Arabidopsis thaliana: one gene and its partners. The protein of the gene in region 2 interacts with the protein of the main gene of each other region in a biochemical or structural test. Each region holds a gene or a part of one and is shown on either strand. Other genes may lie near its edges. The genes, in order: CDL1, BSL1 and CDG1.

The links.
Region 1: of the proteins of BSL1 (region 2) and CDL1, one has a biochemical effect on the other in vitro, tested with the Arabidopsis thaliana proteins (one study listed by BioGRID).
Region 3: of the proteins of BSL1 (region 2) and CDG1, one has a biochemical effect on the other in vitro, tested with the Arabidopsis thaliana proteins (one study listed by BioGRID).

The regions. Positions count from the first base shown.
Region 1 is NC_003076.8:632,125-641,827, reverse strand, and holds CDL1 (Protein kinase superfamily protein), read left to right. Parts: upstream 1-4,259; 5' UTR 4,260-4,453; coding exon 4,454-4,562; intron 4,563-5,005; coding exon 5,006-5,187; intron 5,188-5,272; coding exon 5,273-5,462; intron 5,463-5,537; coding exon 5,538-5,929; intron 5,930-6,019; coding exon 6,020-6,283; 3' UTR 6,284-6,621; downstream 6,622-9,703. Other genes in the region: PRR7 (pseudo-response regulator 7), read left to right, coding at 367-676, 778-939, 1,073-1,206, 1,378-1,542, 1,835-2,009, 2,108-2,555, 2,653-3,322, 3,426-3,545; GSTL3 (Glutathione S-transferase family protein), read right to left, coding at 6,970-6,972, 7,358-7,438, 7,531-7,638, 7,735-7,811, 7,894-7,996, 8,070-8,168, 8,254-8,340, 8,535-8,595 and 2 more; GSTL1 (glutathione transferase lambda 1), read right to left, coding at 9,343-9,345, 9,501-9,578, 9,671-9,703. UniProt on the Arabidopsis thaliana protein: Serine/threonine-protein kinase involved in the positive regulation of brassinosteroid (BR) signaling and plant growth. Phosphorylates both BSU1 and BSL1 in vitro.
Region 2 is NC_003075.7:1,359,499-1,371,374, forward strand, and holds BSL1 (BRI1 suppressor 1 (BSU1)-like 1), read right to left. Parts: upstream 6,001-11,876; 5' UTR 5,669-6,000; coding exon 5,467-5,668; intron 5,377-5,466; coding exon 5,316-5,376; intron 5,199-5,315; coding exon 5,120-5,198; intron 4,998-5,119; coding exon 4,918-4,997; intron 4,828-4,917; coding exon 4,733-4,827; intron 4,643-4,732; coding exon 4,543-4,642; intron 4,460-4,542; coding exon 4,390-4,459; intron 4,192-4,389; coding exon 4,090-4,191; intron 3,867-4,089; coding exon 3,785-3,866; intron 3,697-3,784; coding exon 3,526-3,696; intron 3,307-3,525; coding exon 3,135-3,306; intron 3,041-3,134; coding exon 2,839-3,040; intron 2,679-2,838; coding exon 2,508-2,678; intron 2,429-2,507; coding exon 2,190-2,428; intron 2,108-2,189; coding exon 2,023-2,107; intron 1,931-2,022; coding exon 1,832-1,930; intron 1,749-1,831; coding exon 1,549-1,748; intron 1,466-1,548; coding exon 1,390-1,465; intron 1,300-1,389; coding exon 1,164-1,299; intron 1,057-1,163; and 6 more. Other genes in the region: AOP1 (2-oxoglutarate (2OG) and Fe(II)-dependent oxygenase superfamily protein), read left to right, coding at 1-122; AT4G03090 (sequence-specific DNA binding transcription factor ATNDX), read right to left, coding at 6,997-7,480, 7,570-7,607, 7,688-8,158, 8,253-8,394, 8,522-8,591, 8,680-8,817, 8,921-9,209, 9,376-9,528 and 7 more. UniProt on the Arabidopsis thaliana protein: Phosphatase involved in elongation process, probably by acting as a regulator of brassinolide signaling.
Region 3 is NC_003074.8:9,933,502-9,943,978, reverse strand, and holds CDG1 (Protein kinase superfamily protein), read left to right. Parts: upstream 1-4,673; 5' UTR 4,674-5,042; coding exon 5,043-5,139; intron 5,140-5,452; coding exon 5,453-5,646; intron 5,647-5,747; coding exon 5,748-5,937; intron 5,938-6,022; coding exon 6,023-6,423; intron 6,424-6,855; coding exon 6,856-7,272; 3' UTR 7,273-7,397; downstream 7,398-10,477. Other genes in the region: AT3G26950 (uncharacterized protein), read left to right, coding at 568-892, 980-1,142, 1,261-1,461, 1,554-1,799, 1,881-2,025, 2,120-2,351, 2,443-2,777; AT3G26935 (DHHC-type zinc finger family protein), read left to right, coding at 8,761-8,844, 9,453-9,635, 9,740-10,036, 10,128-10,361, 10,445-10,477. UniProt on the Arabidopsis thaliana protein: Serine/threonine-protein kinase involved in the positive regulation of brassinosteroid (BR) signaling and plant growth. Mediates BR signal transduction from BRI1 receptor kinase to BSU1 phosphatase.

The DNA of each region.
Region 1 (9,703 bases), on a different chromosome or scaffold from region 2:
TTTCCCAACCGTTAGCTGATTGTGCTAGATCCATTTTTCTGGTGATTGATGCAACTTCTGGAGCTCGATTCTTCGTTCTAGTATTTGATTATTGTAAGATCAGTACTCTCTTGGAATTTAGATGCTTTTGTATGGTTGGATTTTTATTTGATGTAATTTGTCTAGATTCGATTTTTTGATGATTCTTCAAAAAGTTACTTGATTAGTTGGTTTTTTGAGAATTCGTCGTTCTTCAACTCTTTTTTCTGTTAATCTGAGATATTGTACGATTCTAACTCCTCTAGCTATTGCAATAATCGAAATTAGGGTTTATGGCTGTGTTTTGATATTTTGATCATTTGAATTCAGCGAAGCAGAGTTGGTGTGATGAATGCTAATGAGGAGGGGGAGGGTTCACGTTACCCAATCACTGATCGAAAGACCGGAGAGACGAAATTCGATAGGGTTGAGAGTCGGACAGAGAAGCATAGTGAAGAAGAGAAAACTAATGGAATTACTATGGATGTGAGAAATGGGAGTTCAGGTGGACTGCAAATTCCATTGTCGCAACAAACAGCGGCAACTGTCTGTTGGGAAAGGTTTCTTCATGTGAGAACCATTAGAGTTCTGCTTGTCGAAAATGACGACTGCACTCGTTATATCGTTACTGCACTTCTTCGCAATTGTAGCTATGAAGGTCAGTTTTGAAGCCTATGGCCCAACTTTAATCTATAGCGCATATATGTACCCGTTTCGGTTCTGTTTGTTGATTGATTATTATTAACTCTGTCATGGCAGTTGTTGAGGCGTCAAATGGGATACAAGCTTGGAAGGTGTTAGAAGATCTAAACAATCATATTGATATTGTGCTAACAGAGGTGATCATGCCTTACTTATCTGGTATCGGTCTCTTGTGCAAGATTTTGAACCACAAATCTCGTCGGAACATCCCTGTCATCAGTGAGTTCTTTTTCCTTGGTCGTTTTACATTGAGCTCTTTCTTTTGAAGTTACACGATTTGTTGAGTCTTCTCTAGCGTATGTTGGAAAGTAGATGCTTTTAACTACATTCCCCTGTGAGATTTGTGTTGCAGTGATGTCATCTCATGACTCAATGGGGCTGGTCTTTAAGTGCTTATCGAAAGGAGCTGTTGACTTTCTTGTTAAGCCAATAAGAAAAAATGAGCTTAAGATCCTTTGGCAGCATGTTTGGAGAAGATGCCAAAGTGTATGTCCTTGCTCATATATGATTAATCTGAAAACCTGTTGGTACAACTGGTGATAAGTAGTAAACTAGAAATTCATGGTCTAATTGTGGATTGGTATCTTCTTTTTTTTTTTCCACATGATTGGTATCTTACTTTTTGGTTTCTCATGGTTTTCCTTGTTTCTTGTTCAGTCTAGTGGTAGTGGAAGTGAGAGCGGAACGCATCAAACTCAAAAGTCTGTGAAATCGAAAAGTATTAAAAAATCTGATCAAGATTCAGGAAGCAGTGATGAGAATGAAAATGGGAGCATTGGCCTGAATGCTAGTGATGGAAGTAGTGATGGGAGTGGCGCTCAGGTAAGACGAATGTGCAATACCGATAATCTAAATATACACCCGAGAAGCTATCCTTTTAAAAATTTCTTAACCACAAATGATAGGGGTCGGATGATCGAACTTCGCATGTGCACTCAGATGCTTATAAATGGTGGAAGCGCTTAACTAACCAATTGTAGAACTCAATGATGTTTAACTTAGATCTATTCAGTGATAAACTGGGTGAAAATTTCTAGTTCATTTTGAAGTTTTATTTTGCACATGGTTTATCTCCAAAACCTAGGTTGATTTTGACATACCTTTTTTTGTTCAGAGCTCTTGGACGAAAAAAGCTGTGGATGTTGATGACAGTCCACGAGCGGTATCTCTATGGGACCGAGTTGATAGCACTTGCGCCCAAGTGGTACATTCTAACCCTGAGTTTCCAAGTAATCAGTTGGTTGCACCACCTGCTGAGAAGGAGACTCAAGAACATGATGATAAATTTGGTAAAGAAAGGAAACTGTGATCTCTTAGTTTCTTCCATACTCTTCTTTATACTGAAACTCAAAAACATGATATTGAATGTTTTTCATCTATTTTGCAGAAGATGTCACAATGGGTAGAGACTTGGAGATTAGCATTCGTAGAAACTGTGATCTGGCCCTGGAGCCAAAAGATGAACCCCTATCTAAAACTACTGGCATTATGAGACAGGATAATTCGTTTGAAAAGAGCTCTAGTAAATGGAAAATGAAAGTTGGAAAAGGACCATTGGACCTCAGTAGCGAAAGTCCTTCAAGTAAACAAATGCATGAAGATGGAGGCTCGAGTTTCAAAGCTATGTCTAGCCACCTTCAAGATAACAGAGAACCTGAGGCGCCTAACACTCACTTGAAAACTTTAGATACAAATGAAGCTTCTGTTAAAATTTCTGAAGAGCTAATGCACGTGGAACATAGTTCAAAGAGGCATAGAGGAACTAAAGATGATGGGACACTAGTTAGGGATGATCGGAATGTGCTGAGGCGTTCAGAGGGCTCAGCTTTCTCAAGGTACTTTCTTAGAATCAAACCTCTGTTTTTTCTTCCGTACACAACCTTTTGAATGCCTTATTGAAGAACTATGAGATCGACTGTTGGACTTGTGCAGGTATAATCCAGCCTCAAATGCCAATAAGATTTCTGGTGGGAACTTAGGAAGCACTTCGCTTCAGGATAATAATAGTCAGGATCTTATAAAAAAGACTGAAGCAGCATATGATTGTCACTCGAACATGAATGAGAGTCTCCCCCATAATCATCGCTCACATGTCGGTAGCAATAACTTTGATATGAGTTCCACGACTGAGAACAACGCTTTCACAAAACCAGGAGCTCCAAAAGTAAGCTCAGCAGGATCTTCATCAGTGAAGCATTCATCGTTTCAGCCTTTACCCTGTGATCATCATAATAATCATGCCTCCTATAACCTTGTCCATGTCGCTGAGAGGAAGAAGCTACCGCCACAATGTGGATCCTCAAATGTGTACAACGAAACGATTGAAGGTAACAACAACACAGTGAATTACAGTGTGAATGGAAGTGTATCAGGTAGTGGTCATGGAAGTAATGGGCCATATGGAAGCAGTAACGGTATGAATGCTGGAGGAATGAATATGGGAAGTGATAATGGTGCTGGCAAAAATGGAAATGGCGATGGTAGTGGAAGCGGAAGTGGAAGTGGTAGCGGAAACTTGGCGGATGAAAATAAGATCTCTCAAAGGGAAGCTGCTTTGACAAAGTTCCGTCAGAAGAGAAAAGAGAGGTGCTTCCGAAAGAAGGTAAATTCTCGGTCAAATCTATAACAAAGGAAAAAAAAAGTATTCTTGTAAATTGCGAAAGCAAATGCAAACCGCAAAAATGTTTTTTTTTTGGCTTTCTCAGGTACGATACCAAAGCCGGAAAAAACTAGCAGAACAACGCCCTCGAGTGCGAGGCCAATTTGTGCGTAAAACAGCCGCTGCAACTGATGATAACGACATAAAAAACATTGAGGATAGCTAACGGAAAATCAACAAAACCCACTATTTCTCAGCCCAAAAACATGAGTAATGTGCTCATATCTATCTTATATATATATATCTATCACATGTTTTAACATTTTCCCTTCAAAGTCTGATTCTTTGATAATACTACTACTATTCACGAAACAAAGACACTACGACATTTGATTGTTTGTTATTATTGTCGTTGTCTGGTCTGGTTTGTGAAATTAGGACGAAGGGTTTGGTTTCAGGATGTAGTGAAATCTTTGTAGATGTTGTAAACTTGTAAAACAATAACCCCTTCTCTGTATATTTTTTGGTATAAGCTTGCTTTTGGAGCCGTGCATAGTACGGTGTCGTATTGTATCAACATTATCTCTTTCAATATCATTTAGCTTATATCGTAAATATATATATTCTTAGAAAAAATCTGTCTTTGATAAACACCATTTTAAAATAGGAATAATCAATCTCTTATACCCAAATGATTGGAAACTATAATGGTGACCACGATTGTTGCTTATTAAAGTTCAATTTCAATATTGTTACAACTTACAACACAAGAAATTTATTCAATCAAATAATCTCTTTTTGTGTGTTGAAAAGAAATTTAAATTCCATGGGGGTAGTTAGTTGATACTACTTTGATAAAATATAATTTTTGTTTGTCTTTTTTTCTTTGACAATTAATTTTTATTTGTCAAAGTCAAACCCATTCACATTAATTTGTATCACAAAAATTAAATTGTTTTAAAAATATATTTTATATCAAAAGAGAAAAATCGAAAAATCCAGCGATTGGCTTGGCGTGCTTTTTTTACATTTCAAAGTTCTCTAAGCTTCTCTCTCTCTCTCTCGCTTTTGAGATCATCGAACACAATCGAAACGAAGAATCATTTGAAGAAGAAGAAGATCGTGAGAAGCTTAATGGGTTGGATCCCGTGTTCTGGGAAATCGAGTGGGAGGAATAAGACAAGGAGGAACGGTGACCACAAACTCGACAGGAAGTCTTCTGATTGTTCTGTGTCTACTTCAGGTAATTTCTCTTTATAGTCTTTGTCCAATTTTAATTCTGGGTTTAACCTTCTCTTACTAAATTATGGAAATTTTTATCCTTTGCTAAAACTTTCTGATTCCTGTGAGCCATCATCGTTTGCTAATGCTGATTAGGGTTTTTGACTTTCTGTTTAAAGATTGCTTTTTTCCTTCCATTTCACTAGCTTTTGACTACTCTGTAACACCTGTGTTAGTATTTTGACAGTGATGTGTTATTGCATGTCTCTTTCCTGTTAATTGTTGTTATTGCTCTCCAGTGGAAGTTGTGGATTAAACTCTTAAATGGGACTTGCTAGATCCTTAAGTATCTTGCTATATTCTTAGAACTTTAATTTGTTGATTATTGACCTTGAGACAATTATGCTCAGCTTGTGTTGATTAATTATTTCTTCTTATCGCTTTCTTTTCTTTCTTTTTTTGTAGAGAAATCTAGGGCCAAGTCGTCCTTGAGTGAATCCAAAAGTAAAGGCTCTGATCACATTGTGGCACAAACGTTTACATTCTCTGAGTTAGCTACTGCCACTAGAAACTTCAGAAAAGAATGTCTTATAGGAGAAGGAGGATTTGGTAGAGTTTACAAAGGATACTTGGCCAGCACTAGCCAGGTTCCTTCCCTTTTTTTTGCTTGGTTTTAACCTTTTGAATCTTCTTGGTAGTGAAAGCTCACTGTCATTATATCTTCATTTGTAGACAGCGGCTATCAAGCAACTTGATCATAATGGTTTACAAGGAAACAGGGAGTTCCTCGTCGAGGTTCTCATGTTGAGTCTTCTTCATCACCCGAATCTTGTTAACTTAATAGGATATTGTGCTGATGGAGATCAAAGGCTTCTAGTCTACGAGTACATGCCCCTAGGTTCACTTGAAGATCATTTGCACGGTATGCGCTTCTAAGATCACACATGCCTATGAGAAGTCTTTAAATTTCAATCGGGTGATGCTTTTTTTATTTCAGACATTTCACCTGGTAAGCAGCCACTTGACTGGAACACCAGAATGAAAATAGCTGCCGGTGCTGCAAAAGGTTTGGAGTATCTGCATGACAAAACCATGCCTCCAGTGATCTATCGAGATTTGAAATGCTCAAATATTTTGCTCGATGATGATTACTTTCCAAAGCTATCCGACTTCGGGTTGGCTAAACTTGGCCCAGTTGGGGACAAGTCTCATGTGTCCACTCGGGTTATGGGAACATACGGATACTGTGCTCCCGAGTATGCAATGACAGGCCAGCTAACACTCAAATCAGACGTTTACAGCTTCGGTGTTGTTCTGTTGGAGATTATAACTGGTCGGAAAGCAATAGACAGTTCAAGATCTACTGGAGAACAGAATCTAGTCGCATGGGTAAGAAAAAAAAACAAATTGGGAACAAACTTTGTTTTCTCTGCGGATTCTTCCTTCTAATTGTATTCTTTGAAATGCTCTCTATGTCAGGCAAGGCCTTTGTTTAAAGACAGGAGGAAATTCTCTCAGATGGCTGATCCAATGCTTCAAGGTCAATACCCTCCGCGAGGGTTATACCAAGCACTCGCTGTAGCAGCGATGTGCGTACAAGAGCAGCCAAATCTTAGACCTCTCATTGCTGACGTCGTCACTGCACTTTCTTACCTCGCCTCCCAAAAGTTTGATCCTCTGGCTCAGCCAGTCCAAGGATCCCTTTTCGCTCCAGGGACTCCACCTAGATCAAAGAGGGTCTGAAAATAATCCCGAGAACCGCAATGCTGTGTAAGTTATGTAGCTTAAACCCATTCCGTGCTGTCTTTCTTGGAGAGGAAAGGTGGATGATTTTCAGACTAAGTGTGAATGTATGGCTTAAGAGCTACTTGTAGATATGTGTAAGAAGAGATAGATTCATATAGAGGCCGGTTTATAATGTTGTTATAGGTGATGTTGTTTAATGTAATGTTTATTGAGCGCTTGCTTTCAAATGTGACAATTTCTCATTATTGTACTGAGGATGTCTGCTTCGATTCCAAAGTTATTGTATAAATATTAAAGTACTATAGTTTTCAAAACTTTAATGTGTGAGATTTTGATTGTATTGATATCATATTACAATGTCAAGGATTGATTATTGGTGAACAGTCAAATATAGATCAAGCTGTTGCTGCAAGTTAACTATACACCTTATCCTTATTGCATCATCTGGTTCTTAATGTGTGAGATTTTGATAGTATTACTATCATACAGTAATATATTAACAATGTCAATGGTTGATAATTTGATCAACACTAGAATACAGATTAAGCTGTTGCTGCTTAAAGTACAAATCTTATTGCATCATCAGGTTCAAGTACACATCTTATTTCTTCATATCCAAAGACCACCTGTTCGTACAAGGTGGTTTGGTCTCATACACTTTACTGCTTCGTGCTTGCTTACAGTTACTGCAAGAATATAACCGGAATTAGACTCACATTTAGTATAGACCATTAACCGAGAAAGTATTAAACAAGTCATTTGGCCATAGTAATAGGCTAGCTGATGATTAGTGCATGGTCTTTGCTTTCAAAACGTCTAAGTCGCAAAACGCTCGTTGGAGAAAGATGAGATTGTCTCTGAGCCAGATGCTAAACCGACTCGGTTTTCATTCCCAAAACAGAAAACTAACCCAAAGCAACGAACATTCACACCTAAACAACCAGATGCTTAAAGGCATATATAGCTTTTATGTTCTAACCCCCAAGAAAATATGAAGCAACTCACATTTGGATCCATTAAAATCATGTGGTAGTTCAGTTAAAAAAATTATATCCTAGTTGTATGACTTACCATGAATTTTTTCTTGAAAACCTCCACAATCTCCTTAGGATCCATTTTCGTCTGTGCATAGCCATCGCTCTTGTTAATTTCCTGCAAACATAACACCGATCGCTTAAGTACCATTCCCTAGTGAGGATAAGTGTAATCTTTTCTGACTTAATGAAGATTGCATATATATATACCTCAATCCATGCTGATAGTTTGGGACGTTCGGCAGTAATGTCGCACTTAAATAATTCATTGAGTACAGTTTGGAACCTTTCAATGAACGGGATATAGGCGATATCAACCTTGAAAAAAACAAAGAATTCAAACCGTCCATATAAGAATTAAGACAAACAAAAGGCGAAATGTATGATCTCAAAGAAGGTTAGTGAGGCTTATACCAAGCTTAACTGACCGAGGAAGAACGGCCCGTCATCGAACTTATACAGAGCGTTTTCCAGATAATCTAACACAGGTGCTGAAACAAGAACATGAAATTTTTGGTCATAATTTTGTCGCCTTTTCACCCCTGAAAACAGTTGAAGAGTTTAAAGTCTCACCGGTTTCTTTAGAGGGGTCTCCTTTGAGTGACACATACATAGTTTTAACGAAAGTATCAGTATACTTGAGCAACTCGTCGCCAAACTCTCTTTTTGCATGATCCTAGAGAGGGAAATGAATAGTGGAATCAGAGAATAATGAAGGGAAACCATACTCGGTATAAGGGATGTGTTACCTCGGGGTAAAGAGAAGGCCCTTCAAAAGTGTTATCAAGATATTTAATCAAATCCAGACTCTCCCCAATGATTTTTCCATTGTGCTCAAGCGCTGGCACCTGAAAAAGATAACGAGAAGTTTCCACTAAGTCATAACCAAAAGTGGAATGTCACATATGAACTCGTGAGTTATAAATAGAAAACCTTGTTCTCTGGATATACTTTCTCCTTGTACCAAGCAGGCCTATTCCCAAGATCCAAAGGAACAAGTTTAATCTTTTCTTGCAAACCCTACAACCACCGGAAACCAACCAAAGAATCCAACTACTTTATAAATAGAGTACACATATGCAAGAAAGATAAAAGTTTGTGAGACGTCAAATTAACAAACTTCAACAAGATAACCAATCCGGCTTCAAATATCCCTAATACGACCAAAATATTGTTAAAGGTGAGAGACTAGTACAAAGGAGAAGCTGTTAAACCTTGAAGTTTCGAGTGATCCAAACTCGTTGAGCAAATGGGCAAACGTAGCTTGTGTACAACCTTTGGTAACACAAAACAATAAGAGGTTAAGACATAAGGGAAATCCAATAAACTACAGAACAGAGCTAAAACCAAAAGCATAAAAGAAGCAACATTGAAGATTAACCTTGTGGTTCCGTCGAAGAGAGACGGTGGATCAGAAGTAGCATCAAGCGGAGCTGGACGATCTTCTACAAAACTGTCTCAATAGAATCAAGCCACAGAAAAACTTAAATTCCCAATACAGCTGAAATCGAATAGACTTAATGTAAAAAACATGAATTTTGCGAAACTTATAATCCCAAAATCGATCAAACTCAATAAAGACTCTAAATTCCGGATAAGAACATAGATCCTTACATAAAAGAAGGAGCCATTGACGATACAAAGATCTGATTCTGTAGAAGAAACTACGGATTTTTTTTGTGTGGAAGCGTTTACGTTTCTCGAAATTACAGTCATCATCGTACACGTGGCAGTTTTGTGATCTTTGTCGGGAACTCCATAACTCATAATGGGCCGTAATTGATACAATTCAATAAGGTATTCAATAAGGTATTAAGCCCATTTTATTATTGACATTTGTATTATCCGGAATAAACCATGTCTCTCTCTTTGATGAATGAAAGTAAACAATACCAAATATCTCTTATTTATCACAAAATGTACAATACCAAATCCAGAAATTTATAACACTCTCAAGTAGTAATATTTCTTCTTCATAAGCCATCATGGCATCGTTACCAAAGTCCAACAGATTTGTTACTTTTACTGCAAATAAAGAAAAACCGGAATCGGTTAGTTTTGTTTTAGAACGTTAACCGGAAATTGAGTTAAGACAAAATTGCAAAGCCTAACATTAAAGTAAAAAGGGCATTTGAGTCCAAATAAACAAAAGTTTAAACGTTTATAAAAAGCGAAATTACCATGAATCTCTTGAAGTAATTGACAACATATTCGGAGTCGGTTTTGGTCTGCGTATATGCAACCATCTTGTTCATTTGCTGCACCACACACATTGAGGTAAAGCAATCAAGTATGCAGCTAAATCATACAAAAGTTTTACCATGTTGACATGCATATATCACACGTGTACCTCAATCCAAGCAGCTAGATTTGGCCGTCCGAT
Region 2 (11,876 bases):
TTGTCGACAAAGAACATCCACGAATATTCAAACCCTTTGAATACACAGATTTTCTTCACTTCTTTCAGACAGAAGCTGGACGTATAGCTCAATCAGCTCTCCATGCTTTCGCTGCCTTTTGAATCAGAAGTATGTATGAATGTATAACTTCATGTTGTTGTGTTGTAGTTTTAACATTCCAAAAACCAAATCTATGTTTGAAGAAATATAAATCATCTCTCACTAAAGAGTTTTTTAGAAGAAAAGCAAAAAAATAGTACTATACCATTCTCACTCTCTGGTGGTATAGTGGATTATATTACACATGTGCGGCAGAGTATATGAACACTGCAAATTTTGAAACATAAAATCTTACTATACTTGTATAAAGTTGTACCAAAATCCAATATTGGTTGACTTCATGAGTTGCAGGCAGAAACCGGGAATGCAATCAGATTCAGATGTATGCAAGCGAGCTTCTGTCAAAATCTGGTTGTGGCCTGCCTCGTGTTGGAGTCGGCGGTCTCTGGATATTCAGCTCCTGCAAAAGATAAATTGTGTACTTTCAGTGTCTCTGGTTCGTAGCCAAAAAAAGATATAGCTACATAAACTCTCCTAGGACTATCCATATCACATAACTACCAACTAAGATCAAGTTGCTCAGTTTGTGGCTGAAACAAAGACATTATGTGCTTCACTGGTATATGCTAGGAAAATGTCTTTTATTGTTCCAAAACTATTATGTGTTTCCGGTTTAGGCCAAATATTTCTAGGAAAAAGACAAAGACAGACTCTTACACTAAGGTCAGGTTACCCGGTTTGTGGCTGAAACAAGTTTCAAGCTTTTGTTTTGGAGAATGTGTTCTTATGATGTAGTAAAAGAGTTGATGTATGGATTTGAATTAATTTGAAACAGAAGTAGCAAAGTTGTTGTTACCTGCATCCAAGCGTCGTCTCCAGAATGTTCTGGAGAGTTCTCTGGAGATAAGATGGGAGGTGGAAGAGGATGAATTAACTTGGGAACAATCACCAATCCTCTGCCAACCACCAATATAGCTCCTGCATTGTTCGCAGTTCCTGTTTAAGAAAAGTATCACAATGTTTTATTTCTTGATGTTTTTTCCTATCCAAGAATACAATCATAGATACAAGATGAGGTTTTGACGGGTTTTGTTTCGCCTCACCGCAGTAATTTGTGGCGGAGAAAAGCGTAATCAACTGTCCCTGTGCAAATCTTTCGAATCCATCCATCACACATTCATGGGCCCTGATAATTAGCTGTAGTTTATTCCTCTTACAGAATTCTGTGACTCTATCAGGCTGCAGTATCAAGACTACGCCCTCAGTGATTGGCCCCTAAAAACAATATTAATAAAAAACGACAATAAGAGCGAATTAGGGGTGATTTACCCCAAACGTGACAAGGCCAGGTCCTCTGGCGTTTGGTCTTAAACCCTCGATACTATCGTTCTCTGTAGGATCAGACCTGTACTTTAAAAAAATGTCATTAACTCGGGGATATTAGAAATAGTGATTGATATGAAAGCAAGACAGCAAAGGATGGATTACCATAATAAATCCATTAGAACAAGGGATCCAGCATCCATTGTTATGGGTCTTTCAATCTTTTCAATCTGTTCCACTGTACTGATTGACCTCCCAATTCCACCATGCATACATATAATTTTGTTCTCGATTAGTGCAGCAAGAGGAAGATAATTAAAAAGTTGATTAAATCTTGTCCACGCCCAGATGCCATCATTCTCTCCCTGGCAAAAGTACAGAGCAGGCTTAGTCTACGCAGAAAAGCTAGCGACAAACACGATGAATATTTCTGCAGAGAGGGATTTACCATTCTTTCTATGCATTCAAGACGGAAACCAAATAGTGCATTAATGTCAGCAGCCTCGTGGTTTCCACGAATCAAGTGAACATTCTCCGGATATTCAATCTGCAAAGGAATATCTCAGAACCATAAAACCAAAAAGCACATTTTGAATGACACTACTAATATTGGTGATGTGAAATTAGGCACCGTCTTGCCTTCAATGCAAGCAGCAACGTTATAGTCTCCAGGCTGTGTTGTCCCCGGTCAACGTAATCTCCCAAGAATAAATAGTCAATATACCTGAGGCAAACACGTTTAATCGTTCAGTGACTATATTTTTTTAGCAAAACTCCACAAAGTTCAATCGATTTCTTAAACTTACGTGATGTCTCCAGCTGTTGAGGGAAATCCATATTCATCAAATAAACGCATTAAATCGCCAAATTGCCCATGGAGATCGCCAAATACTTTGATAGGAGCCTTTAGCTGAAGAACCGTTTGTTCATGCATAAATATTTGTTCGGCAGCATAACAGAGTTCCCCAACTTCGTAAGAATCCAAGAAAAATTTCCTATTGCCAGGAGGTTTCCAGTTTCGAGGTCTTAACAAAGCAGCAATGACCTGCAAGCAACAACACATTAGTAGAGATATTAACAGGGACAGTGTCCAGGAGGATGAGAAGATTGCAGAAGAATGATACCTTTTTATGCAGGCCTTGCGGAGACTTCTGTCTCGTGAACTTCTTGGTAGGTTGTGGCACATCGCTATTGTTCATGGGAACCATCCGTCGGCTCTCATTCTGAAACTGATCCAAGCTTAGCTGTCTTACCATGCCGCCCAGACTACCAACCGTCTCTTTTGCTACCACAACCTATCAAATGAGATACTTCGGTAATCAAATACGCAAAAGAATAGGTACAACAGTTATTCAAGCATACACTATGTTGGGAAGTATTTCAAACTAAGCAGCCAATATGTCCAACGCATGAGACAAAGAGATAAATGTATAATATTCTTAGGTATTAACATACAGCTCTCGGATGAAGCCTGACATCTCCTTCATTTGCGGTACCATCAGTAGTAGATTCTACAATTGGCGAGCTGGCATCAGAGGTAGAGGGTTCTTCATCCAGAGTACCAGCTCCTAGTTGTGCAGCTCGCCAAACAGAACTAGCTACCTCTGCTTCAGCTGCAGAAGCCTCCGTCAATTTCTCCAACGAATTTTCATCCAAGCTGATATTGTTGAGGAGAAAAGTAAGATAAGTCATGCTCAAACAACTAGACACAGTTAAGCACAAACCAAAAGAGGGTAGGAAATGGGATAGACCTCAGTCCCTCAGACATGGAGAAGCTTGGTTCAGAGCCTGAAGGAGGTCGTGCGGCATAAGAAAACCTGGGAGTAGAACTTTGTTGGGTTCTATCTGATGCTAGCAAAGGAGAACTGATGTCTGACTGGAATGTTGAATTTTCAGCAACTAGAAAATCGTCAAGTAACACATCTGTGCGGAAATAAAATTACGGTAATAGTCATACTCTGAGAATAAGGATAGATAAACTTGAGACATTAATTCAAACTATAAGAGATGTAAGTGTACCACAAAAACTTCCTAAGATTCAACTTGACCTAAATTATGAAACGTGAAACTACAGAACTAAAGTATATGTACTGCAATAAACTAAGGCATCTTGTTGTACAAAAGGAATATTATCAGGCCTACCTCCTCTTAGACCACCATGCACATAGATCCGGATACCAACTGATGCCGCGCCATGGCGACAGCGTCGCATAAGTTCAAAAGACGGATCTTGATCGATTTGTCCCTTACTTCCACGTGCAGAAGTAACTTGCCCATTTCTATCCAACCATACACCGGCAGCAGTATCAAGCACTGCGAGAAAAAAAGATTCCACAACAATTAGAAAGATCAAAATCAAGAGGAGCAAAACCTGCGAGAATTAGCTCACCATCACCATTACCTGCAACAGATGCTTCAGCGTCTATTACACGGCCTCCTCTCAGCACACCACCACTGACATGTAATCTTGCACCTACAAAAACCTGATAAGAAAAACAATTAAGGAACTTATGGCAATGGCTAAAATTAGAGCATGGTTTTGTAAATGAAATCAAATGCCTCATCAATCAAATCATATAGAAGAAAAACAATAGTCAACTCAGTTTCTAAAGCTACAATGTGCAGTCCTCTGGAATACTAGTATAAGTCAACGCTTCAGAAGCTATTTTTCCATATGTTTTGAAATTAGAGCAAGATTTGGTTTACCGCTGCATGTTGATATCTTGGAGAAGGAGCTACACCTGGAGCCAGAGTCCACTCCCACTGACCATTTCTATGCATCAGTAGCCCATAAGCATCTCCCAACGGCTGCAGACACACGAACACATAAGGGAATATGCCAGCATTCATCAAGAAGATTGAAAACATAACATCTTAAAATTCGGATCTCCTTGCAAGATAAGCAAAGCTCTAGAATTCGAGATTTCTGTATTTTATCTAGCCCTATCCTGGAAAAAAAAAGTCTACTAATTTCTGCACAAGAGATTAATGGAGAAAAAGGTATACCGCCCCCAAGGTGTCTCTTCCCCCGCAGAGCAAAAACATGCCATCAGAACGAGCACTGCCAGAAGCATACCTATGCAAACAAATCATAATATGAAAATTCAGTTGAAGAACAACCGTTCTACAGTAACCATTAAAATCAACTTAATCACTAACATTCTAGCACTTGGTCGGTCACCATCTGGGTTCAATCTCTGCCATACATATGGTTTCTGAGCTGTATCCAGTGCCCAAGCGTCAGAAAGAGCTCGTTTCCCTGTTCCATACACAGAAAGACACATTTTTGTTAGGATATCTCTATTCTTTAAGAAAAAAAAACAGAATAGTAAAACAGACATATTCTTACCATCATTTCCGGTGACTGTAACAAGATACCTCTGAGAAACTAAATCCATAACATGGCCATAGCGAGGGCCTGGACCATCCCCTTGAACCACCACCCTGAACACGCATTAAATGAAATAATTTTGACATCAATAAAACAGATAGCTAAGAGAGACTGAACTGGGAAACTTATAAAGAGTCTCTCACCTGTGCCACTTGAACTTATCATTAGTCATGTCAAGAACGTAAAGATCATCAGTAGAATGCCCCGCCGGTCCAATGCCACCCTGTTATTTAGAACAAACATAAGTAAATATCATACATGAACAATGACAATTGACCATAAAACTATCACATTTGCGCTTTGCCAGAAACAATAAACAATCTGAATAATTGATCAAAAGATAACCTGAAAAACGACCATGGTGCCAACTGCAGCTGCGGCGTGAGCAGCCCTAGGAGACGGAGGCTCACCAGCCGGTTTAAGCCTGCACAAATCCGGAAATTCACAATGCAACTCTCCATCAAACCAACGTGGATTTGCAAGAAAACAATAATAAACCAAACAACAAAATCTCAAAAACTAAAAACGAAGTCTTTATTACCTTGTCCACTTCCTAGTGAGAATATCATAAGAATGCACCGTATTGGTAACACCAGCTAACCCTAAAACCAGAACCAGAACAACTCCAGATCAAATCAAACCAAACAAACAAAAAAAAAATCAAATTCTGAAATTCAATAAGGGAAACTTACTGATCCCAGGAACGGAAGAACTCCCTCCCTCAATAGCGGTGGCGCCGCCGAAGAGAATAAGACGAGGACCGTGAGTCTTAGTAGCTGCAACAGCCGTAAGTGTATGAGCGCATCTAGGACCAGGAGCATCGTCTTCATCATCCCAAAAGGTTTCTAGGGTTTTATACTGAGGAGCTGGATGTAGCCAAGGCTTCGAGCCCATTGGAAACCACTTTACGGGTATAAATCGATCCCGCAACAGCCAAAATACTGAACCAGAAGCAGAGAAATGAGAAGACGAAACCTAGAAAGCGAATCAAAGAAGGAAAGACTACGGCACTGGACGAAAGAACTAGGTAGAAAGTTCAGATCGAAGGAGTAAGAAGAATTCACGGCGGAGAACGGTGGCGAGTTACGACGGACGGACTCTGTCTTCTCCACAAAGTAAAAACCTTTCTTTTTTTTTCAGAGACTATTTTTTGTTTTTGAATTAAAAGAGAAGAAAAAATAAAATAAAAATCTTTGCTTCGCCGAGTTTTGGAGGACACAGTTTTCTTCGGATAGAAAAGGCGTTTTCGCTGAGCTGGACTTTTAGTCTTCTTCTTTAGTCAACGGCTTTATATGTATGTGAATTGTCTAGATTACCCTTTGTTATTTTTTTTTATATCTGGTAAATACTGTGTGTAGACAATTCTAAGAAAAGCATTTCTATTTCAACACTTTATTATCGAAACTTTGAAATTTGAATTTTCGTTTAGAGGAACATTCTAATTCTATACACATTTTCAACAAATTTAATAATAATGCATAAGCTGTAGCCTTATTGGTAATTTATCTAAGGGGGTGTTATTAGTTAATGGATTTTAATAGAATTGAAATCCAACACTAATCCACTGTTATTCAACTAATGATTCTAAATCCAGTTTTAAAATCTAGTGTTATTGGAACTCATCTTTGTAAATCATGCTTAATAGATTTTAAAGTTTAGTGTTATTCAATTAAGATTTTAAATATTTCATTAAAATCCAGTGTTATTCAAAACTAAAAATCTTGTAAAATCCTTGTATATTAATTCATTTGAAATGAAACCTCTTTGGAGTTTCATGAGTAAATCATTAGAATCGAAATCCATGACATATTGCAGAGATTTTGAAATTCATACAAACATATTTTTAAAAACAATATAGAAAACAAATCTAAAGTTTAAAGAATTGACTTTAACTCCATAATTGAATAACACCACCTAAATATTCAAATATAATCATTAGCTACTTTATGGAATTGATTTCTTCTTAAATTTACTATAGTTAATCTCCTTAAATCACGAAACAATTAAAATTTGTTTCTTTAAATAGCTGTAAAGTCAACTAACTGAGATTAAAAAAGTCAAACTATTCCTTCTGTTATTACCTTCCTCTCAAAGTCTCAACCTTTGCCTGTAAATAACCACAGAGAGAGAGAGACAAAGCTCACAAAACAGAGGAGAATCTCTAAACAGTTAAAAATAAACAAAAATCAAAAACCTACTGGTCAAATTCAATGCAACTGAGTCTAATACTGAAGCTTATTCACATCCCAAGCCACTCTCATAACTCCAAACCTTGAATTCGCCTCTGTGAAAGTCCTCCCAACATCATCTGATCCATAAGGGATCATCTTTTTGCTCCCATCATATGACTCACTAAGCTCCATTACATCAACTACACATATCTGTCTTGTCTCCAAGCTTAAACCGTTCCATTCACCGTCTGTTCTCAACACTGTTCCCTTCCCGATCTCGTCTCCTCTCTCATCCATAAGCCTCACTTGTTGCCCTTGCTTTATCCCTTCTTCTGATGATGACGATGTTCTCATCAGATTCTCTCCTGTTTTCGGGGTTTCTGTTACAGTTTGATCTTTAATTGGTGTTGATGGTTTCTGCTGCCAAGTGTTTTCATCTCCAGGACTCTCCGGTAGATCCCCTGAGCTGTTATTATCATGAGCTGGCCCCGTTTGCTTGTTTGCTCGAGCTAGTTTCGCTTTTCGGTTATTCAGCCTGATAATAAACTTTCAATGTCAGATAATGAATAGTGATTACGAGATTCTCTTTGCAGCTGACGAAGAGGAACAAATAAAAGCAAGTACCAGTTTTTCAGCTGCGAAGATGTAATAACCTCCGAACCCTGCAAAATCATGTAATCAACGAGCGCATCGTTCGTAATACGTGGTTGGAAATTAAAAAGAGTAGAATTCTTGAACTCACCTTTTGACTTATTTTATCAGCCCATAACTGTCTCGAAGCTGAATTCCGCTGCAAATCAGGTTCTTCAGCAAGCGCCTTCTCAATCATCCCCATTTGATCAGCATTCATAATACTACGCTTCCGTTTCTTCTTCTGCTTCTCAAAGACAAGGAAGGTTTCAGATTTCTCATCCTCCTTCACCTCTCCTGATGCACTGCCTTTAAATCGCTTGCTCATATTCTGAACCAACTCTCCCTCTTCAACCAGACCCTTCCCTCTGTTAGAGCTTGTATCTGAACCACTGGTTTCAAGATTGCTAGCATCTGCATCGCTCTCTTTCAACCTTTCAACTGTGTCTATCTCCTCGTTCACGCCTTGCTTTGTCATCACACCTTCAACTCGGACATCACAATCCTCTGAAGCTTCCTCATTGTTAAGATTCAGAAGCTCTTTTAGCTTACCAGATAAATTCCCGCCCCTACCTTCAATATCCTAGTACAACATAACATTTGAAGGTTAGCAAAAGATCTGTCTTACGTAGAAATTTAACATACGATGGACATGAGTAAAACCTTGTTACACCTACTTGTATCAGTGTAACTAAACAGATAAGCCAGAGAATTGTAAAACCAATGTATAAGAGAGCAAAAAGCTTTTTCACCTTCACCTGTACTTGACTTTCCTCAAACTCGGAATGGATTAACGGCTGTAACTGGTCACAAAACACCCTGCAGAAGACAATATACCGGAAAAAAATAATATCAACGGCTACATAAAATAGTACAGCTCGAGAACTACAAAACTTTAATGTAGTCATAGGTGAAAAGTAGAATGACTGAAGAGGCTTTATGTTACCTCAAAAGCAGAAAATCTTCCTCGTTGAGGGAACTAGGGATCAAGGATTCTGCATGGCGCAACAGAGAACCTACATATACAAATATCCATTAAAACCAAATCAGCAAAACATGTGTATATAAGAAATAATATATGTGTCTCGGGATAGAGATACATACCTAGGTTTCTGCAAACACCAGTGCCTCTCTGTGCCACAGGAGTATATGAAGAGCCTGGTAACATCTTAATCAATATGCTTGAAGGATCTTTTCGCAATCCACTCATAACATTCTGAATGAAACGGTTCCTATCCTGTTCTGCAGATATTAACAGCGAATACACTTAGTAACTAACAAACGAAGGCAAACCAACAATATGATACAGGGAAATGCAGAAGATAGTGGCGGGCAAAAAAATCACCTTGGCACACGTTGGGAACGAAACAGTGAAGATTCGCAATCATTTTAATAAATAAGGATGTTCGTTGATGTGCATATGAAGACATGGTAAGGTTATTTTGTAAACTGAGCTTGAATTGAGGTGTGACTGATTGCCCAGAAGATGAAAATACACTTAGAATCCATCCAGCTGACTTAAACAGATCATAATCAACATTCGCATCATCCTCCCTTGAAGAAAGATCAGAAGAGCACAACATTGACAAGAAATCTCCATGAGAGAGACAAAATACCGCGCTGAGAACCATGCTCTGGAGAAAGATTTAACATCCGTCACACAACAAATTACAGAATTTCAGTAACGCAATTAATTTATAACCATACCGACGACAGCTCATAAATTGTATGAATCATATGTGCCAAAACAATAAATAAAACAAGAGACTTTGGCAGAGGCAGGAATAACTTGATACTTACAAAATGTTCAGTGAAAAAAGATCGAAAATTTGAGTCATCAGTGAGCACGTCAGCCAAGCGCATAGCGTTAAGTAGCACAAAACCCATCGGGTAGTCAGGAGAAGCAGTAGCCATGGAAGCTTTAGAAAGGCCAAGCCTCAATAATTTAAGAACCTATATTACAGATATATCATCACTGAATAGGTCAACACTTAACTTCACATGGATAAACTATCCTGGAGAGAAATGAGGAACAGAAAAGTACAAAATGTCAATTTAACAACATATGCCATTTAGGAAACTGTAGGTTTAGACTCTAGAGCAGAGCTGATTATCACTTAGCCAACACGAGCTTTTTGCAGTGAGGTTTGTTCTATGACTAGTTACAACGTATCAAAACAAATAAGATTGTCAATTTGTATGGAATCTTTATAAATAGAAGCGTCACTCAGTGGTAAACCTTTCGAATCAAGAAGGAAAACGTCCTATCGATTTTAGAGCAGAGACCCTAATTAGGACTAACCTCTGAGGCAACAGTTTTGGCTAAATGCAAGTTTCCTGCATTTGCAACCTCGTCAAGGAATGAGACACTTTCCGCTTCAAACAGATGCTGCAACTGCAGGCACATGAACTTTGGTATGAGTTGCAGATAGTAAATAGAGAAAAAAATTGCTAAATTTCAATAGACTTACAATTGAAAGAACTTTTGCTTTCATTCTAGATGTGGAAGCTATAGTTACGGTTGCTCCAACAAATTCAGGTGTAATAGTTAGTGATAGTATGGATTGAGCTAGCCTAAGAACGCCACCTTTTCCACATAGCTCCTGAGAGAAAATACCAGAAAACATAATTCTGAGATTCGTCCTCCATAAAATCATCAATTAAGCAAAACAAATTATTAACAACTCGTGATTAATGTACAAACACCAAGCAATAGAGAAACCTTGTTTTTAGCGACACGTTCTCTAAAGGGTTTGTGTTGGCATAGAGAATGAAGGAACTGCAAAGCAGCTTCAGCTTGTTGGCAGTGGAAGTTAACCTCCTCTACAGAACTTGCGCCTAACTTTTTTGGGGAGTCAGTTTGTCTATACAGCAACTTCGCTTTCAAAGATATCACAACATTGAGAACAGCTCCAAAAGCACTGTCTATAAACACATCAACCTAGATGAAAAAAAAAAAAGAATCAGATCAAACTAATCCCAAGGCAGCAGAAACCCAGATCCCAAAGCATAAGCGTAATTTTCTTAATATATTTTCCTCACATTGGCATTTCAAACACATTATGATAAGGTCATAGTTTCATACCCTTGGGTGTGCAAGCAAGACGAGAACAAGATCTTGGGAGTTAGGAGAGATAAACCCGTGAAACAGGTGGAGACAAGAAGCCACCAATGTAGCCTCTAGTAACGATTCTTTATTCGAATTACAGCTTTCCTGGAAACAAGCAACGGACATGAATTATACAGCTCTAAAAAGAAACAGGAAGAGACAAAAAAAGGATTCTACAGAAAAGAACCTTTCTGTTACGGCCAAGAGCTATTATCACAAGGATCACCAGATCAATCATCTGTGCTGATAATTTCACATCGTCAAGCAAGACCTATCACAATATGCAAACAAAAAAAAGAATCAAACATTATGTTCCATGGAGGCATAAAGTCCAATTCTTTAAAAGCTCAAAACCACATATGAAGATGGAACAACCTGCTCGAGTTTAGCATTACGAGGTGTTAAGTCACACAACGTCTGCAACAGTCTGATCCCACACAGTATATAACGAGACTTTCCATCTTTATTAGGAGTCATAACCACCGCAATGAGGTGCCGAGGTAACATTTTCACCATCTTCTCAACACTAATCTGAAAGAAACCTAAACATCAGTACTTACTACAAATGAATAGCAAAAAACTGAAAAAGCAAATCAAGTTTAAAAATGCACCTTTTGTGGTAACACTTGCTCAGAGTTAAAGCAAATAGAGAAATCTCCATTATCTTTAAGCAGCTTATGAAATTCCACAGAGTTTCGCCAATGCAAAGCGTTCACAGCTTGTACCATGTGTTTAGGCTGCAACAATCGAACCATGACTGTCACTAATATGCAACAGTGACTGAATCTAGTTTCCGGTGAATGAAGAGCGACTAGAATTTTGTCTCGCCGTGAGTTATAGTGTTAGGTTATGTGACAGAGAAGAAGATACGAAAATCAAAAGCAGTGAAATCTACTTCAGGGTATGGTGGCATAACGGTAAATGAGTAAAAAGAATGAGGTTAATTTCTAAATATATTGACACTGAGCCTCGCTCTTTGTAGTAGAAGGGAAAACTCAGCTATGGCTTATCGGATTATTTGATTCCAGCGACCAATTTCAAACCCTAACATTTTATTTCCAAATGTTGTTGAAACGATGAAGACAATCACGTGAGAGTACACGTGACCTCTTTTCTTTGGGTCTAAATCGTTTAATTAAAGCCCAACATAGCTTTTACTTCTTTTTTTAAAGCCCAAATTGAGTACAGCAAA
Region 3 (10,477 bases), on a different chromosome or scaffold from region 2:
AAAAATTTTAATGATTAAAACAACTATAAGTTTTTAATATATTGGATGTATATTATTACAAACAATAATATATAAGATAACTTGTACATGATTCACCAAAATAGTCTAGTTGAAACAACTATAATTTGAAGTTAAATAGGCTAAGTTGAAACAACTATAATTTTGAGATTCAACTATTCTTGGGTTACGGATTTTTACATTCTTATTAAAATATTGTGTTATTGGTTTGGGGGGTTTTAAATTTCCTCAAATGAATATCTTCTTATACGAAAAGATTAGTTTTCTTTGTAATTTTATTAAAATGATGATTATATTTAGATGTGGTCATGTGGATGAACCACCACCAGTGCACCAAAAACAGAAAACGACGCCTACCAACTTGATGGGCTTTTAATAGATATAGTTAGTTAGGCCCAGTTTAGTGTTAATACGATACCGTTTGACGTAGTTTAACGGCCACCGACACGAACGAATCCAAAACGGCACCGTGTCAATCGCATCCAAAGCTCTGATGTAAGAAACTCTACACTTGTTCGAGTTTCGGAGAAAAGAAACGATGAGGAAGAGATGAAACGCGGTGGAACAAGACGGAAGCGGTTGTTCGGGAAGACGATTCTCTTATCATCTGTGGTTTTCTTCATCGGTTTTGGTTTGTTGTTGCTCACGCTCCGTTCCGTAGATCCTAATTCGTCTTTCATCGACGACGACGATGACGAGTCCGAATCCGAGGAGGCTTCGAGATGGAGCAACTCTTCTTCGATTGGAGAGGCTATGGTCGATGGAGCTAAACTCTGCGCGACGGTAGAAGAAATGGGAAGCGAATTCGATGGTGGTTTCGTAGATCAAAGTCTCAGAGTTCGAGATGTTATCCATCGCCATTTTCAAATCAATGGTGAGATATTTTGTTTTTGAATCGACTCTTATATAAGCGGAGGTGTTTACGATGAATCAATGTCGATGTGGTTATTGTGGTTTATAGGAGCTTCAGCGATCCGTGAGCTGCCTCCGGAGCAATTTTGTAGACATGGTTATGTTCTAGGGAAAACAGCAGAAGCTGGATTTGGAAACGAAATGTATAAGATCTTAACATCAGCAGCATTGAGCATAATGTTAAACAGATCCTTGATCATTGGCCAGACCAGGCATATATTGGTTCTTTCTCAATCCTTTTTCTCTATATTAACTGAACTGTTACTATGCTTGTTGTAGTTTGTGTTATTTGTCTTGTTTATATTTCTTTCTTTCTCTGGGTATCCTCAGGGGGAAGTATCCTTTTGGTGATTACATTGCTTACTCAAATGCTACGTTTACAATGAGTGAAGTCAAGCATCTGTGGCGACAAAATGGCTGCGTGAAGAAATACAAAAGGCGGCTTGTTATGAGATTGGATGATTTCGAGAAACCGGCTAAGAGTAATGTTCTATGCAGTAATTGGAAGAAGTGGGAAGAAGCTATTATATGGTCAGTTGAAGAAAAGAAAGTACAGAAGATACAACTTTGAATTCATTTTGTGAAAGTTATAATCATTACTGAGTCGAGCATTTGGTTTTCAGGTTTCAAGGCACGACAGACGCTGTGGCAGCTCAGTTTTTCCTCAAGAATGTGCATCCTGAGATGAGAGCTGCTGCATTTGAGCTATTTGGAGAGCAAGGAAACTCGGCACCACGAGGTAATGTGTTTGGAGAGTTGATGATGAGTCTCATATCTCCCACAAAAGATGTTAAAGAAGCAGTGGACTGGGTTCTACACGAGACTGGGGATCCTGATATTTCAGTGCACATGCGAATGTTGATGAGCAAGTATGTTAAAACGTGCATCTAGGTTTGTTTTTTTAGTTGTTGAGCTTGTTGACTAAGTCTTCCTTTCATGTTTTTCTCCAGATCTGTTAGACCTATGCGTGCAGCGATAAACTGTCTAGGGAAAGCAATTAACAGACTTGGCATACCGAACCCGAGAGTGGTTATAGTGTCTGACACTCCATCTGTAGTGAAAATTATCAAAACAAATATCAGCACCATTGCAGAGGTATCAATGATCTATTAAACTTGCACTTTCTCTAATCTTCCCAATGATTTATTCAATTCCATTGGCGGACTAAGTAAGTTGCAATGGTTTTCAGGTTCTACATTTTGACTATAAGCTTTTCCGAGGTGATATCGCTCAACGTGGCCGCGGTTTACCAATGTTAGATTTCAGAATAAAGGATTGGGGTCCTGCACCGAGGTGGGTTGCATTTGTAGATTTCTTCCTCGCGTGCCGTGCTAAACATGCGGTGATCTCCGGTGCTAACAGGCGAGTTGGGACTACTTATGCTCAGTTGGTTGCTGCATTAGCCGCGGCAAACAGTCTCAGTTAAGATCGTTTTTTAGTTTCCTCAACACTTATTTTTCTTTCCTTCTGATCTGTCTCATTAACAGTACTCCTTGACTGGTTAATTCACAGAGGATGGTTCGAGCAACTCAAGCTTTGCGTTCCTGAGTAGTTTCCAGAGCAATTTGTTAGCAGATGGTCTGAAGAACCAGGTAGGTTGGGGACATGTCTGGAACCGATACGCTGGACCGTTAAGCTGTCCAAAACAGCCAAACCAATGCGCCTTCACGCCGCTTGCACCTCCTGGTTGGTGGGACGGTATATGGCAATCGCCCATCCCACGGGACACTCGTAGGCTTGCAGCTTTCGGCATTGAGCTTTCCGGGTTTGGTACGGTTAACGAAGACCGGTTCCACGCCTATTGTAGCGCCAAGAAAGAGTACGTAAGCACTGTAACAATCATATAATGACTTCTTGAAAAAGATTCTGGACTCTTGGTTATAAATGGACTCACTGGTTTTATTCTTCAAATCTACTTCCCCTTCTTTAATTGAACCGGCCATATCAAACTTTTTGTTCTAAATAACCGGACCCAAACCGAATTAAGCAAACCGAACGCCCAGGCCTACGAGTAACTAGCTGGCCTCTTGGTTCAATATATGGTTTTACTACTCCCTTCTTAAATTGAACCGGCTTTCTTACCAGGTCTAAATAACTAAACCCAAACCGAACTAACTAATTAAACCGAAGTCAAATATATCCAGCTATAAGTAAGAGAAGACTTCTGGTGTTTATTAGAAACAAAGTAAGATTAAGAGAGGAATAAAGCTGGTGTCAGACATTAAAGATGGAACATCATCTCGTGGAATCAAACTTTTCCTAATACAAAAATTGATTCTCGGTTAGTGAAACTTCAATTTACTACCACTTGCAGATTGTTAATTTCATTATTATTATTCTCGTCGTTAGAAATTTGCTACTAACATTGCAAGTAGGTTCAGGTATAGGTGAGAGCTAGTTTAAGATGGACAAAACTAATTATGTAAGTAGTTCTTGTAAAATATGCATTTTAAAGGTAACAATTGCTATTTTGGTGTAAACTTTTGTAATGACTAAAAATAAATAATTGTGATGGAAATAAAATCTGATTACAAAAAGATTTGAGAACGTCATGATTCATTCATAATCATGTACTGTCTACCATACTTTTTATTCTACGTACTACCATACAATCTCCAAATTTTAAGAGTGGTATGGCTCCATGACTCACATCACATGATTTACATTACATATTGTACTAATGTCAGAACCTTAACCGATCGTAAAAACCGATCAACAACGTTAACCATCATTATTGACCGTTATCTGTCGTCATAAAATCTCGGCCAAGGCTTCTTTAAAGTCTTGGCTAAATCAAAAACAACTTTTGAATTTGAACCTCATAGTGGAGCTAGAGAAGAACACAACCAAGAATCAAATGTGTATACGTTCGTATAATTAATACTTGTTAATACTGTTTCCCTCTCCTCTTTCTTTAGTTTTGTTAATTACTAGACTTTTATGCACAAAATGATAAGAATGGAGTCATAAAATCCATAGAAACCATAAAAAAAAAGTTCCGATAATTATCATTATCGTATATTGAATAATGTGAAATAGAAGTTGAATGTGTTTCCAAATTTGGTTCGGAACTGTCTTATGTCTCAGACAGAGAATCTTTGATAAAATCTTTTAACTTACATTGCATGGATATATTGGCCTAAATTTTACCATTATCAGCGTTCCTTTTAATTTTGAGGTTAAACATAGGGAAAAGCATCTTGCCGTTTTCATCGTCTGTTAAAAATTATTGAGTTTTAGACTGGGAATCTTTAATACTTGTAGCTCACGTTACATGAATTTGTTTATCAAAATTTTGTTATTCTCTGCGGTTTTTGCAATACACTTAAAAATTATTTTGCACCAAAACCAACCAACAAAAAAAATTCTTCAATGAATTTCAAAAACGTTGATAATTTTTTTGTCGTTACGTCTATAGTTTTGGGCCTTTTTTGAATGCATAACAAACATAGTTATCATCTAATATATCACTATTAGAATTTAGAAATACTTAACGTGAGGATTATTTTCTAATTTTTGTCTTAAAAATTAGTTTAAATTCAGAATCCAACATTTATCACAATTATAAATTCCAGGGATATAAAGGAGAAACTTACTATAAAACAATTAACATTGTAGATTATTACCCTCAATGGCATAATAAAACAATAAATGATTTTATCTCATAGAAGCAATTGGTGAGTAACGTACCATATATATTGCACCCCCATGCTCTCTTTTGTTGATTACGTGTCTTTCCTTCCTATCAAAACCCCTTCAACCAAATCTTATCTAAATCCCCCAAAATTTTACGAAAACTCTCGATTTTAATCTAAATCTCCTTCCTTATCACCTCACAAATTTCTCGTGTTTTTTTGTAATCAATTTTTGATGGAAAATTATTCCCAAAACTCGAATCTCTGTTGATCGTGTGTTTCTTGGGGTTCGTCTGATTCCTTCAAAGTTTTCATCTTTTTGATAACAAAACCGTTAGTTCTTTGTCCTCGTGTGTGATCATCTCTTGAGCCCTATTGATAAACCATATAGAGAGTGTATGTGTGTGTATATCTTTGTTTATTGAGTGACACCAACAACAAAAAGATTATTTTCCTTGAGATTGATTAAAAGAAAACATGGTTAGTTGCTTGTGTTTTCGTCCCAGTCGGAAAACGAAGCTCAAAGACAAATCTCATAAGAGATCCATACGTAACCAGACATCCTCCTCTTCTGGTTCCTCTCACTTCCCTTTGATCTTTTTATTATTATTTATAGATTAATCTTGAGATTAGTCATCTTTAATACCAGTCATTAGTAGTAAATCATGATAAAATCTCCCTTTTCTTTTAAATAGCTTATTTATTAATGATACATATAGTATTTGTCTTGTGATTAGTTTATACGGATCGTACAAATCCCGGCTTAGGGTTTGTGTTTTATAGTTCAAAGATTTGTGTATTTGGCTGATAAATGTCTTTTTAATCTACTTGTGATCCAATAACATATGTGATATAGTCTCTCATTGTGTTGTTTTGTTCCTCTGTAGCCCAACCAGCTGGAACAGCAAAAGAAGTAGATTCGTCAAGTTCACAAACCGTAGTGCAAGATTCTTCTAGATACAGATGTCAGATTTTCTCATACAGAGAACTCGCCATCGCGACTAACAGCTTCAGGAATGAATCTTTGATCGGAAGAGGTGGATTTGGAACTGTGTATAAAGGAAGGCTAAGCACTGGACAGGTAATCTATTATTAACATTTGGACTAATCAAATCAATAATCTTGTCGTTGTGAAATCTCTAACTGTTTGTCATTGTGCTTTGTTGTTGGTCTTAATTCAAGAACATAGCTGTTAAAATGCTTGATCAGTCTGGTATTCAAGGAGACAAAGAGTTTCTTGTGGAAGTCCTAATGCTCTCGCTCTTGCACCACCGAAACCTAGTGCATTTGTTCGGTTATTGTGCTGAAGGCGATCAAAGACTCGTTGTCTATGAATACATGCCTCTTGGATCTGTAGAAGATCATCTCTACGGTAAAAAAAAAACTACACTCAAACCAAGAAATTTTCAAGAACGAGATTCATTAAAGTTTTTTAAATTCTTGTGTTGTTTTGTCAGATCTTAGCGAGGGTCAAGAGGCTTTAGATTGGAAGACAAGGATGAAGATAGCTCTAGGAGCGGCTAAAGGGTTAGCGTTTCTTCACAACGAAGCACAACCTCCTGTGATATACAGAGATTTGAAAACTTCAAACATATTGTTGGATCATGACTATAAACCTAAGCTCTCAGATTTTGGACTTGCAAAGTTTGGTCCAAGTGATGATATGTCTCATGTCTCTACTAGAGTTATGGGAACTCATGGGTATTGTGCACCAGAGTACGCGAACACCGGGAAGTTGACGCTGAAATCTGATATTTATAGCTTTGGAGTTGTGCTGCTGGAGCTTATCAGTGGACGCAAAGCTCTTATGCCCTCATCCGAATGCGTTGGTAATCAAAGTCGCTATCTTGTGCATTGGGTAATCCTCTCAACCTTATTTTGCTTAAGGATGGATTAGTTTTTTCCTTATGACCATTTATAGGCTTTGCTTCTTTTAGACTATATAACCAGATTATATCTATCTAAATTCCAATTTTGCTTAAGAGAAAAATTGTTTTGATGGTGACCTTTTGGTCGATTTTGCATAATTATACCGTTTACGATTTAGGGTTTAGGGTTTAGATTAATCAATTAACCATTAAACCATATGCTATCAATTTTGATTTTTCGTAAAAATGGTAGTGGTTTTACTATTGACCTTTAACCATATATAGGTTTTGATTTTGGTTATGCTGATGAAAAAGAGTTTCGTGTTATGGCCCTTAATGATGTGTGGATACGTATTAGACTAATGAATGTTCCGATTTTGATGACGACATGTTCATGTGTTTCTTTTTTTTTTTCTTAACAGGCACGACCGTTGTTCTTGAATGGCAGAATAAGGCAGATTGTAGATCCAAGGTTAGCAAGAAAAGGCGGTTTTTCGAATATACTTCTTTATAGAGGTATTGAAGTGGCCTTTCTGTGCCTAGCAGAAGAAGCAAACGCTAGACCATCGATCAGCCAAGTCGTGGAGTGTCTTAAGTATATCATTGATCACACAATTAGGAAGGAAAGGAGAACTAGGCGTAGACTACTAGGAGGAAATAAGGATGGGGCGGGGACATCGAGGTCACCGGATGAGACAATGATGAGGATGTTAGAAGAAGAAGAAGAATACGTAACTAGTGAAGAAGCTATTGAGAGAAGGAGGGTAATCGTGGATGATGCTCGTACTTGGGCCGGTATGAATAGGAGAGGGGCTACGCCACCAACTCCGACTCCATGAAAGTGAAGTAAATTTTTATTAACTTGTTTTTCAAGTTATATTTGGTTAAGTTTGTTTGGTGAGACTATTGTTAGAAACCAAATTTTGTTAAAACATTTAAACATGGCAATTTAGTTAATACTAGATTTATGTTTGTTTTTATATATGTACTAACATCAAATTGATTTCTTACAAATTTCATCTGCTTCAATAACTTCGGTTTATTTAATTCGATTAAGATTTTGTTTCATAACAAAAAAATTAATATTTTGGACGTAAACTTTTTCATTTCATTTTTTTTAATATTTAATTTTATTATATTGAATCAAAAATTACATGGTTATCAATAAACATACACATACAACCAATATTTAGGTAAAACAAAATAATCGAAAAAGTAAAATCGCACGTTGCTTCTTTCGATAGGTAGGACTTATATGCTACCAGAGAAATAATTCTGTTACTTTTTTTATTCGTTTTCATCTTTGATCTTCTTTTTTTTACTATCGCCTTTTTGATGAAACTACAATAAGTTCTTCAAAAATTATTAGTTGCGATCCATCTGTTACATCGCAAATCATACAAATTTTTTTTAGTTGTAGAAAACATGATTGTTTATATAGCGACTTGTTTTCCATATAGATATTCCTTCTTCACAGCCTCCAACACCGGTATCATGACTCCCCAACATCCATATAACGCTGCCACTGGATTCATATGGATCATATTCATATAACGCTTAACATTCTGCAAACTTGAAACTTTAGTCAGATAGCATTATAACATATCTACCATCCTTATTGGAACCAGAAGCGTTCTACAACCACTTTGTGATTTTTACATCGGAATTGTTGTACACGTAAACTTTTTTGTGTTATGAAAAATGTATTTAAAAGTTGAATGAACATATTTATATAGTTAGGCCCACTTGTGTGAATTCAGATTTTCAAGGCTCAAAAGAATATTTTTGTTTTAGAGAAGGTTGAGTCCATCATCATAACCCATATGTTGCCTGTCATCATATTTTTCTTTCGACCTTTTTCTCCTCGAGATTTCAAAAGATAATCACTATTAAGAAACAAAATTTTTGACCGCGGTTACTAAGTGACAAACCAATGAAATAAAGACACGTCAGCTTCTGTCAAAATAAGAAAGATAAACTAAAAAAACGACGGTCACACACAGTTTCTTTCTTTTTGGTTATATTAAAATGTTTTTGTTTGAGAAGACAAAAAAAAAAAAAGTGGGGGAAGAGAACCCACCATTGAAATTGGGGGAAGAAGAGAAGAGAGGCTAACACACAAAAAAAAAAAAACCCTTCTTTTTCGCTGGCTTACTCGTGCCCTTGTCGGCTTACTTCGCCGGAAATCTGAATTATCCTTTTGCCGGAGACTACTTACCCTTCTCTTTCTTCATCTTCGAAACGGGTTTTTAAAGCTCAGCTCTTGGTGACGCCGTCGTGAGAGAGAGAGAGATTGAAGTAGAAGAAGAAGAAATTGAGGTTGAGAGATGTATGTAGTGCCTCCGCCTCAGCGATCTGATTCTGGATCCAATGGTGATTTAAGGGTTTACCAAACTTGGAAAGGCAGCAATGTGAGTTTTTTTTTTCTCTTTTTTGTTCTTCTTTGAGCTATAGATGCTTCATTACTCTTCCTTCCCATTTTTTTAGTTTTTGCTAAGTCTATTAAATGGGACTTTAGATTAGCTGCTATGTTTTCAATTTCAACCTAGTTCAAAATTGGAACTTTATTAAGTCTTTAGGAGAATCTAGCTATTGCGTTTTTGTGAATCCTAGGTTTTGGTGTCGTTTTCATAGGTTGCTTTTGTGGTGAATACCCTTTGGATCGTTTTAAGCTGGACAAGGCATTTTAACTTTATCTAAATATAGCTCAATGATAGATTGAGTTACTTTGGACAGAAAGGTTTTGTAATTTGAGATTACACATATATATATAGTAGATACTTGTGTATAAGGAGGTTTTCAATAACCTTCTCTCTGTGTTGCCTTAAGACATCAGCTAGAGAATCTGAATACTTCTTCAATGATTACTTACTCTGAGTACTGATTAAGACATGTGTTGTGTGATGTACTGAATTCATCGCTGGTGTATTGTTTTCCTGGATGATTCTTGTTTTTGGGGAATACTTTGTTCTCGAAAGTTTCTCTACCGGGCTGTTTATTTTCGCGTTTTATTTTGCAGATATTCTTTCTTCAGGGAAGGTTTGTATTTGGGCCAGATGTTAGATCACTGGCGCTGACCATTTGTCTCATTGCTGTCCCTGTTACAATTTTCTGCATCTTTGTCGCAAGGAAGCTAATTGATGACTTCTCCGATAGCTGGGGAGTCTCAATAGTAGCTGTCGCCGTCGTGTTCACCATTTATGTATGTATAGTTTTTTCTCGCATTGCATAGCAGATGGTCTCTATAATATTCTGTAGCTGATGCTTTTATTTTGTATTCCCTTATGATTCCGTTTCTTTCTTCAGGATTTAATTCTTCTGCTGCTTACATCCGGAAGAGATCCAGGTATTATCCCAAGAAATGCTCATCCTCCAGAGCCTGAAACCCTTGATGGAAACATGGATGCAGGGGCTGGCCAGACTCCGCAGCTGCGATTGCCTCGCATTAAGGAAGTACAGCTTAATGGAATCACATTTAAGGTCAAGTACTGTGACACTTGCATGCTCTATAGGCCGCCTCGCTGCTCGCATTGCTCAATTTGCAACAACTGCGTAGAAAGGTTTGACCATCACTGCCCTTGGGTCGGCCAATGTATTGGGATGGTAAGTCAAAATCCAACTGATCCCGTCTTTAAGCTATCCACATAAACCATAGTTTCCTAAATATCATCTCATATTCTGATGGTTGTTGCAGAGGAACTACCGATTCTTCTTCATGTTCGTCTTCTCCACGACCCTTCTATGTATATATGTGTTTGCCTTCTGCTGGGTCTATATAAGAAAGATTATGGAATCAGAGCACACAACCACTTGGAAGGCAATGCTTAAAACTCCTGCCTCCATTGTTCTAATAATATACACATTCATATCAATGTGGTTTGTTGGTGGCTTAACAGTTTTCCATTTATATCTCATCAGCACGAACCAGGTATGTTGCGACCATCCAATCCCCACCCTCTCTTAAGGAATCACGGTATCTCTGTAACCATTGATTTATCTTTGTTCTTGCAGACTACATACGAGAATTTCCGATACAGATATGAT